2 linked regions of the Tamandua tetradactyla genome follow. Each later gene encodes a partner of the first gene's protein in a complex. Links are inferred from orthologs where the notes say so. Each region holds a gene or a part of one and is shown on either strand. Other genes may lie near its edges.

The links.
Region 2: the proteins of ORC2 (region 1) and ORC5 are in contact, whole or in part, in a cryo-EM structure (PDB 7JPO), measured with the Homo sapiens proteins. The link is inferred for Tamandua tetradactyla from reciprocal best matches to the Homo sapiens genes ORC2 and ORC5. Residues at the interface, in NP_006181.1 of Homo sapiens: Val240, Glu241, Tyr243, Phe244, Glu245, Ser248, Asp396, Gln398, Arg401, Gly402, Glu403, His426, Asn428, Ala429, Pro430, Leu431, Met432, Trp433, Asp434, His435, Gln438, Trp445; in NP_002544.1 of Homo sapiens: Asp324, Lys325, Phe328, Leu329, Leu359, Asp360, Arg361, Ala364, Tyr367, Ser368, Ala378, Asn379, Phe381, Ser382, Gln383, Thr385, Ser386, Thr389, Asp400, Gln401, Leu402, Asp403, Tyr407.

What each region holds. Positions count from the first base shown.
Region 1 is NC_135329.1:175,431,091-175,434,841, forward strand, and holds the start of ORC2 (origin recognition complex subunit 2), read right to left. Parts: upstream 2,690-3,751; 5' UTR 2,473-2,689; intron 1-2,472. UniProt on the Homo sapiens protein: Component of the origin recognition complex (ORC) that binds origins of replication. DNA-binding is ATP-dependent. The specific DNA sequences that define origins of replication have not been identified yet.
Region 2 is NC_135327.1:142,471,963-142,475,713, forward strand, and holds the start of ORC5 (origin recognition complex subunit 5), read right to left. Parts: upstream 2,195-3,751; 5' UTR 2,178-2,194; intron 283-2,177; 5' UTR 23-282; coding exon 1-22. UniProt on the Homo sapiens protein: Component of the origin recognition complex (ORC) that binds origins of replication. DNA-binding is ATP-dependent. The specific DNA sequences that define origins of replication have not been identified yet.

The sequences.
Region 1 (3,751 bases):
AGTACCCTATGTGTATTCTCATTTAATTCTCACAAGAATTCTACAAAGTTTATACTCTTATATAAAGATAGTACTTATAATTTATATGGCCACTGCCAGTAAAAGCACATGCTTCAGGGCCATTTTTCTAGTCATAATATAGCTTCCTATTACAGGAAATCCTGATATATCAGAGAAAAAGTTTAATGCAGCTACATGTTATTTGTATAAATAAACTAACAAATTCTTTGAAGGGCTGTTTGTCAGGTACTATATCAGGCACTTAGGCATTTTCACATTTACCAACTCATAAAATACAGATTTTTTTGAGGGGGGATTTTATATATATTATATACATGATTTCCACAATTATGGATGAGTAAACTGAATTAGATATTAAATTACTTATCGAAATTTACATGGTTAGGAAGTGTGTTAGGGCCGAGGTTTGACTGATTGCAAAGCCCCTGACTTTATTATACCACACACCTCTCCTGGCCATTAACTAAAAGTCTGCTATTCCAAACAATTGTTTTGACTTCTGGAAACTAATCATAATATGTCCAATCATTTTCCCACATGGCAGGAAATAACCAAAGACCTCTATGGTTTCCCATAAATTCCCTGAGAATTAGGTTAAACATACCTAGTTCTATGAATCTATACAGATTCATAATCTACTGTATTTTTATTTAAACACTGCAGTGTTCGACAAAGGATTTGAGGCAGTGACAATGAAGAAATGCAATAAAACAAATGATAAACTATAATACTGATAGGGAATCTGGGCCAGAGAAAAAACAATGAAAAGAAGAAAATAAAAATCGTACAAGGATTTTTGTCTCTGAGCTTCCTGGGACTCAAAGGAAAATGGAGTAAAGGTCAGTTACATAATTCTCTTTAAGAAAAGCTTAGTAGTTCCTTCCTTGTGTGTGTGTTGGGGGTGAGGTGAGGTTTTGAAGGAAAATTTTAAAGCAAATATTCTAGGCAGTTAAATAATGGTCCTAGGCAGTTTTCTTTTAATAACAATTACCTGGACAGAGGTAACCTAACCCCGTCTTGTTTGTACCTGAATGCATGTATATGTACATTTTCTTATCTAAATGTTAAGGCATTATATTAAACAGTACAGAATCACCAAACTGAAGAAATTTCTACCATCATCAATAGTTCCTGAAAAACACTACCCAACAACAACAAATGCAAATATTAAGTAACCATTTTACTGTCTTGGGAGTTTTCTGAGTTAGGGGGAAAAAATGAATACGCAAGTACAAGATAGTATAGTAGCACCAAGTGAATGGTAGCAGCAAAACATACTCCTTTGGGAGCAAAAGATTTACTACATTAAAAAATATATGTATAGGGCCACGGTGGCTCAGCAGACAGGGTTCTCACCTGCCACGCGGGGGGACCCGGGTTCGTTTCCCAGTGCCTGTCCATGTATATATACTTAAAAAGAAGATGATGCAGACTAGTGGTTAAGCAACAATTTTAACATCAGATAAACCCGGTTCTAATCTCAATTCCACACCTTACAGCTGTGTGATCTTGAACGGAGTTGTGATGATTAAATGAGATCATGTGCCTGGAATAGGAAAGTGCTTAATAAAACGTTTGTTATTATTGGTATTTTTGCTTTAAAATTCAATTTAATCACATATGTTGTACTTCTCTATATCTTGTTCAATATCTAATAACAGAAAATGCGTTCAATAAATAACTGAATTGTGTCCATTTACCGTGTCCAATAACTGAATTTAAGGTTTAGGACTATGCTAGTTTCCTCAGGTTGCAATTTACCTCAGGGATGTTATAACGGTTCCATTAAGAAATTTTAGTCTAATTTGATTTCAACTGTAAAATGAAAAGCAATGCATCAACATCTTTTTAATTTGAAAAATAAAAGCTCTGCCAAAAGATCCTGTTTTATCAACATTTTACAACCATGCATCGCCCAAAAGTGACCGTTCGGTTAGCAGCATTCATTTGGGGCTTCCAGGCTGGGAAGACATAAAAAAATTCTTGCTACAAGTGATAGTTCTGGGATATATGGTCTCTTCCTCCTCATCCTTCATCGTACCCGCTCCTCTCACAGGGCGCTTGCTTACTTTGGTTACAGATTTTCATGTATTCTCCTTTCACAAGCAGGAGACTGCTTAAACCCGGCAACAGGTACCTTGTTATTGGGGGTCCTTTGCACGTAAGGCAAGACAGTTGGAGAGGCAAGACAGAAGAACTAACAGCTTTCTCAGAGGGGACCTCTCACCGCAACAAGTACATAGGGAGACTTGGGCGTGGGCCTCCCGCAGCTCAGCAGCCAGTTGCGCTCCGCTGGGGACCTCGAAGTGGTAGGGGCCGGGCGGCAACCTCGGGAGGGGGGAGCAAGAGGTGCAACGGCCCTACCCCGGCTGCCGAAAATAAGCCCGAAGATGAACGCCACGGACCCGGGTGCCCAAAACGGCCGCTGAGGCTGGGAGCACCTGGACTCACCTCAGGAGCCAAGGGTTAGGAGAAGAGGGAGACAGACTGCCCGGCAGCCCCGCAAAACAACTCGTTGGATGTTGCCAAACTGTGGCGTCTCGGCATGGAAAAAGCGACAGCCCCAGCAGGACGAGCTGAGAAACTCAGAAGGGCCCCGGAGGCGGGCGGGGAATGGGAAGTCCAACCTGCAGCACACCGAATCTCCCGCCCTGCCCAAGGGGCGGTGCCCCGAGCAGCCAGTAAAAAGCGGAGACTGCCGAGAGCGACGGCTCTGTCGACCAGTTGGAGTGTTCCAGTTGACGCTGTTCGTGAAACCTGGGGAAAACGAATCCGCAGGCGCAGGACTCTGGGCCTTTCCTTGCCTATTTCCGTTTCCGGGGAAGGAGTGTTGGTTGTATCTGAGACTATTTGAAAAGTGTAGTCGGCTGAGTGATGGCTCTGTCTTGAGGCAATCGTAGAAATGTTAATTGGCTTCCTAAACATCTTGCTTTTTTCTTTGAAGAAAAAGAAATGGGGACGGATTCACGGTTTGTTTTTTAAACTTTTCATTTGGTGTGAAGGTAGGATCGCGTGCATCTGAAGGATTTGGGATAGAGGGAAGAGACCGCTATCCCTATATAAAAAGAAAATTAGAGCCATTGAACAGACAGAAGAAATAGTTGCAGAAAGAGTTAATGAGGAAGAAAAGGAAAGAACCTTGCTGGGATGCCTTTTTAGCCACTTACAAAATACTGTCTCCTTTGAATTCATTCGTACATTTAGAAAAAAAAAGTCCCCTGCCTATGGGGTGTTGAGGATACAATTTTGAGCAAGACAAATGAGATTTCTGCCCTCACAGTATATCCTATAGGGGAAGAAAGATATTCAACGCACAACACTGAGAAAAATACTATGATATGGAAAGTGACCTGTTCATTGGAGCATGTGGCAGGAGTATCTAATTAAAGGCCAGGAGACAGGAACAATTTCCGTCGAGAAAGCAATGTTTAAACTGAAACTTCAGGCGTGAGTTTCAGTTAACCCCGGCAAAGAGAAGGGGGAAATCTTTCCACGTAGAAGGCCCAAGTTAACATAGGTGCTTAAAGTGCAGAGGGAAGTACCAACAGTTGCATCCTTTATTATGAAGTATTAGTCTGGCCCTGAAGATACTGGTTAAATCTGTATTGAGAGGTCACACTAGATCAAGGAGGTAGAGGTGGAATTGTGAGAGATTCACAAAAAGATGGAATCATACCATTTTGGAAGCTGTTTAGTTAATCCAGGAAAGAAAAAGAAATGGTGTAAGCCT
Region 2 (3,751 bases), on another chromosome or scaffold:
CCATGTTTTCCAAGTGAGGCATTCTGGTGGACACCACCGGAGTGGACACTACGGCTCCAGTCGAACCCGCGCCAGCAGCGACAGCCTCACCTCAGCCTGGCGGTCCTCACTCCCGCCGGAAATCGGACCCGTTAAGGCGCGGGGAGGCCGGCGCAGCCATGCGTCTGAGTGACGTCAGTGCGTAAGCGGAGAGGCGCGGACACGCCCACCTCTGGCGTCGGAGCTGTTGGGCTTTCGGGTTTCTGGTCAGCGGGCGTGCTTTGAGAAAGGTACTGGGAGACGCTGCAGGAATGGACGAAAGAGAAGGGAGGAAGGAACTAAGCGGACCCTGTAGGTTCCCGAGAACGTGCGAGCCCGTGCATCCGATTTCCTACTTGGAGGTCCGAAATGTAGAACCCCACGAAGGAAGGGAAGGCGGACGGAGTCCATTAGGACTAGGGCGCGGCCGCTGCGGGAAGGTGGACTCGGGATGATCAATATTCTCAAAAGATGGAATTATACTGTCATGGGTGTGGAAAATTGGTTGCGTTCTGTGCAGAAACTAGTGTAATGGGGTTGAATAAATAACTTGGAATTGCCATTCTTCGTGCAAACCTGACACCACATCCAGAAATATCTCACTGCCGAGGAGGGGATGTGTGTGCTGGTGAGGGCGGCAGGGGTAACAGTAATGCCACCTTTCGCATAGGGCTTTCACATGTATGTATTCGTGGAACACCTACTAGAAACAAGACACTAGAAGATTCTGGGAATAGGAAGATATAAGTAGGCCGAATTGCGTGGTGAAAAAAAGACTTGGGAGTCCTGAAACCCCTGATTTGGTACCGCAAACTCAACTGCTTACCAACGTGAGACCTTAGAATAATCACTGAACCATTCATTTTGAACCTCGAATTCCTTATCTATAAAATAGGGATAATAATAACCAGGTCATTGCTAGGATGAAGAATTGTTGTACTTAGTGCTTGGTGTACTTAGATTTAAATTGTACATGTTATAATCAGAATCTTATGTTTGTAATGGCTGAAAGGATCTTTTGTAATTATGGTCTCCTAGAATTATTAGCTAGTCCAAATATATATTTTTGAAGCATCTATTCAAATCCAGTTCCCTAAATATTTTAATAGCTCTGAAGGGTACCCTGGGACGACCCATAAAATCTTACAATGTCTTTTCCTGAGAGAAGCTAGCTTTTACACTCCACTGTCAAACAGTAACCAGCACAATCAAGGGTGCGAGTTTACTGAAAGAGTGCTGGAGCGGAAGATCTGTAACTGGGAAAGTTAGAGTGAAAATCTCAATATGACAAGCAGGTTTTAGCAGCTTATAAAGGTTAGTAGGAGATTTCCAAGTGGGAGGTTACAATAATTGGTTGACACCTTTTTCATCACATGGGAGGGTCTAATAAAGCAGGAAGTAGATATACATTGATTAATATAGCATACGTGTCCATTTTTTTACACTATCCCCATGAGACCAACTAATCATTAAATGTTGCAAAAATTGCAGATTGATTGGGACTATTCCTTTCTCTTGGAAAGTCCCATTCTTTCACAGTTTTTACCCTGCAGTATCTCTCAGAGAGGGCTGCTCAGAGCAACTCCCAATACCTGTGACCATATTATTTTTATTTAAACTATCCTTCCAAGATGGGTTATACATTCTCATAACCCTACAAACTTCTTTATTTGTACTTGTGGCATATTTATGGGAATTAGAGCCTAGCCATCTTTAAAAAGTTAAAAAAAATATTTTTCTTTACATTCTCTCCATACCTGCAGTCTAACTTACTGTCCTCTCCCCCTCTTGTCGTAGACCGCCCATTTCCGTAGCCCACCACAAAACCACAAACCTTTCCTGTTATATTCAAACTCTATCCCTAACCTAACTTCTGCCCAAAGCCTAGTAACTACTTCTAAACTTGTGTGATTGGTTACCCTCCCCTGAGGTCCACGTCTCCACTCCACCCTCCCTTACACTGTATATAATCCGGGGCTCACCAAGCCTCGGGGTCCTTCTTAGATCTTGAGTCCCCGAGCACTTAAGCTCTTGCAATGTAACAATAAAGAAGCTTTGTGCCATCAATTGGTATTCGGCTCAAGTCTTTGGGGCCCTCAGCAGCTTGCTGCTGAGCCTCGGCGCCGCCTTAGATCCCATCCCCGAGCTCGGGTACTCACCCATAGCAGTCAGAGAGTGTCCCCAAGCGGTCGCCTTCCGGGAAGATGACCGCAGTACTAAAAAAAAAAATCATAATATAATTATCTAAAGTGTTAGTCTCCGCCTATAAATACTTTATGAGGACAGGAAACTGCCTTCTTCACAGTTCTATTTACAATGTATACTGTAATGCCTAGCAATTAATAAGCAGTCAATAAATAATTGCTGACCTAGGAAAAAAAAGCTTACTGCCTGGGGAGCTTTAGGGAAGTTTCCCAGGATAAGGAACCTGGAAGCTGAGCCTATAAAAATAGGAGTTCACCTGTGAGACCAAAAAAGAAATACTAAGCAAAACAAAACAAAACAAATAACCAATCCCATAACCAGGACTACAAGTCGTTTTGTAAGAATAAACCTAGAGAGAGACAGGAGGATCAGACTGAGTACAAATGTATGCTGGGAGGATTGTACCCTACCAGGTAGGTAGGCCACAAAGAGCCAATGAAGAGTTTTAAGGCAGTGAAGAAAATGACCTCTTAGAAAAGCTTGGATACAACATGGAAAGTGGAATCAATCTGATTTGTTAAAGAGACTATTGCAAAGTTCCAAACAGTAATGGTAACAGCTTAAACTAAAGCAATGGCAATAGACATGAGAGGGAATGGAAATTAAAGTTCAGTGTTTGATAATGTGGCAGGCACTTACTAGACAGATATATCATTCCATTTAAACATTAGTTGTAGTATAATAGAGATATTATTCTTGTTTTGTAAAAAGAAAAACTAGCTTAAGTAACTTATCCTAAGTCTCACAGACTTGAACATAGGTTTGGGTACTCCAAAGTCCATGATCTTTCCACTACAGCATATGGGAAGGGGCTAAATCAGAGAGATTTAAAAGTACAGTCCAAAAGACTCTGTAGCTGCTTAGAAGAGAGAGAGAATGGTCACTGAGAATAGCATTTAGGTGTTTTTTTTTAATAATCTTTTTTATTTTGAAATGATTTAAACTTACAAGAGAGTTGCCAAATTAATACAAAACCCATGCTAAGAACGCCAACATATATCCCCCACCCACATCTACCAACTTTTAACATTTTATCATATTTGCCAAATCATTCTACCTACCTACCTATCTGTCCATCTGTTTTCTAAACATTTGTGTGTATGTTGTATACATCATGATCCTTGAACTCTTAGTGCTTCCATGTATGTTTCTCCAAAACAAGGATATTCACTTCTGTAACCACCTTAAGTACATTCAGTTATCAAATTCAACAAATTTAGCATTGACATAAAGCTTACAGTCTATATTCCAGTTTTTCCATATATCCCAATAACGTTTTTTGGGGAGCATTTTATCCTTCATTATTAGATCCAGTCCAGGATCATGTTGTGCATTTAGTTGTTATTGCTGCTGTAGTCTCCCTCTTTCCTTCTTTTAAAATTGTGGAAACATATTTGCAAAATGAACTTTTCCATCTCAACCACTCCCAAGCATACAATTCAGTTGAATTAATCATATTCACAACATTGTGCTATCCTCACAATCATCCATTTCCAAAACTTTCTCATCACTCCAAACAGAAACCCTG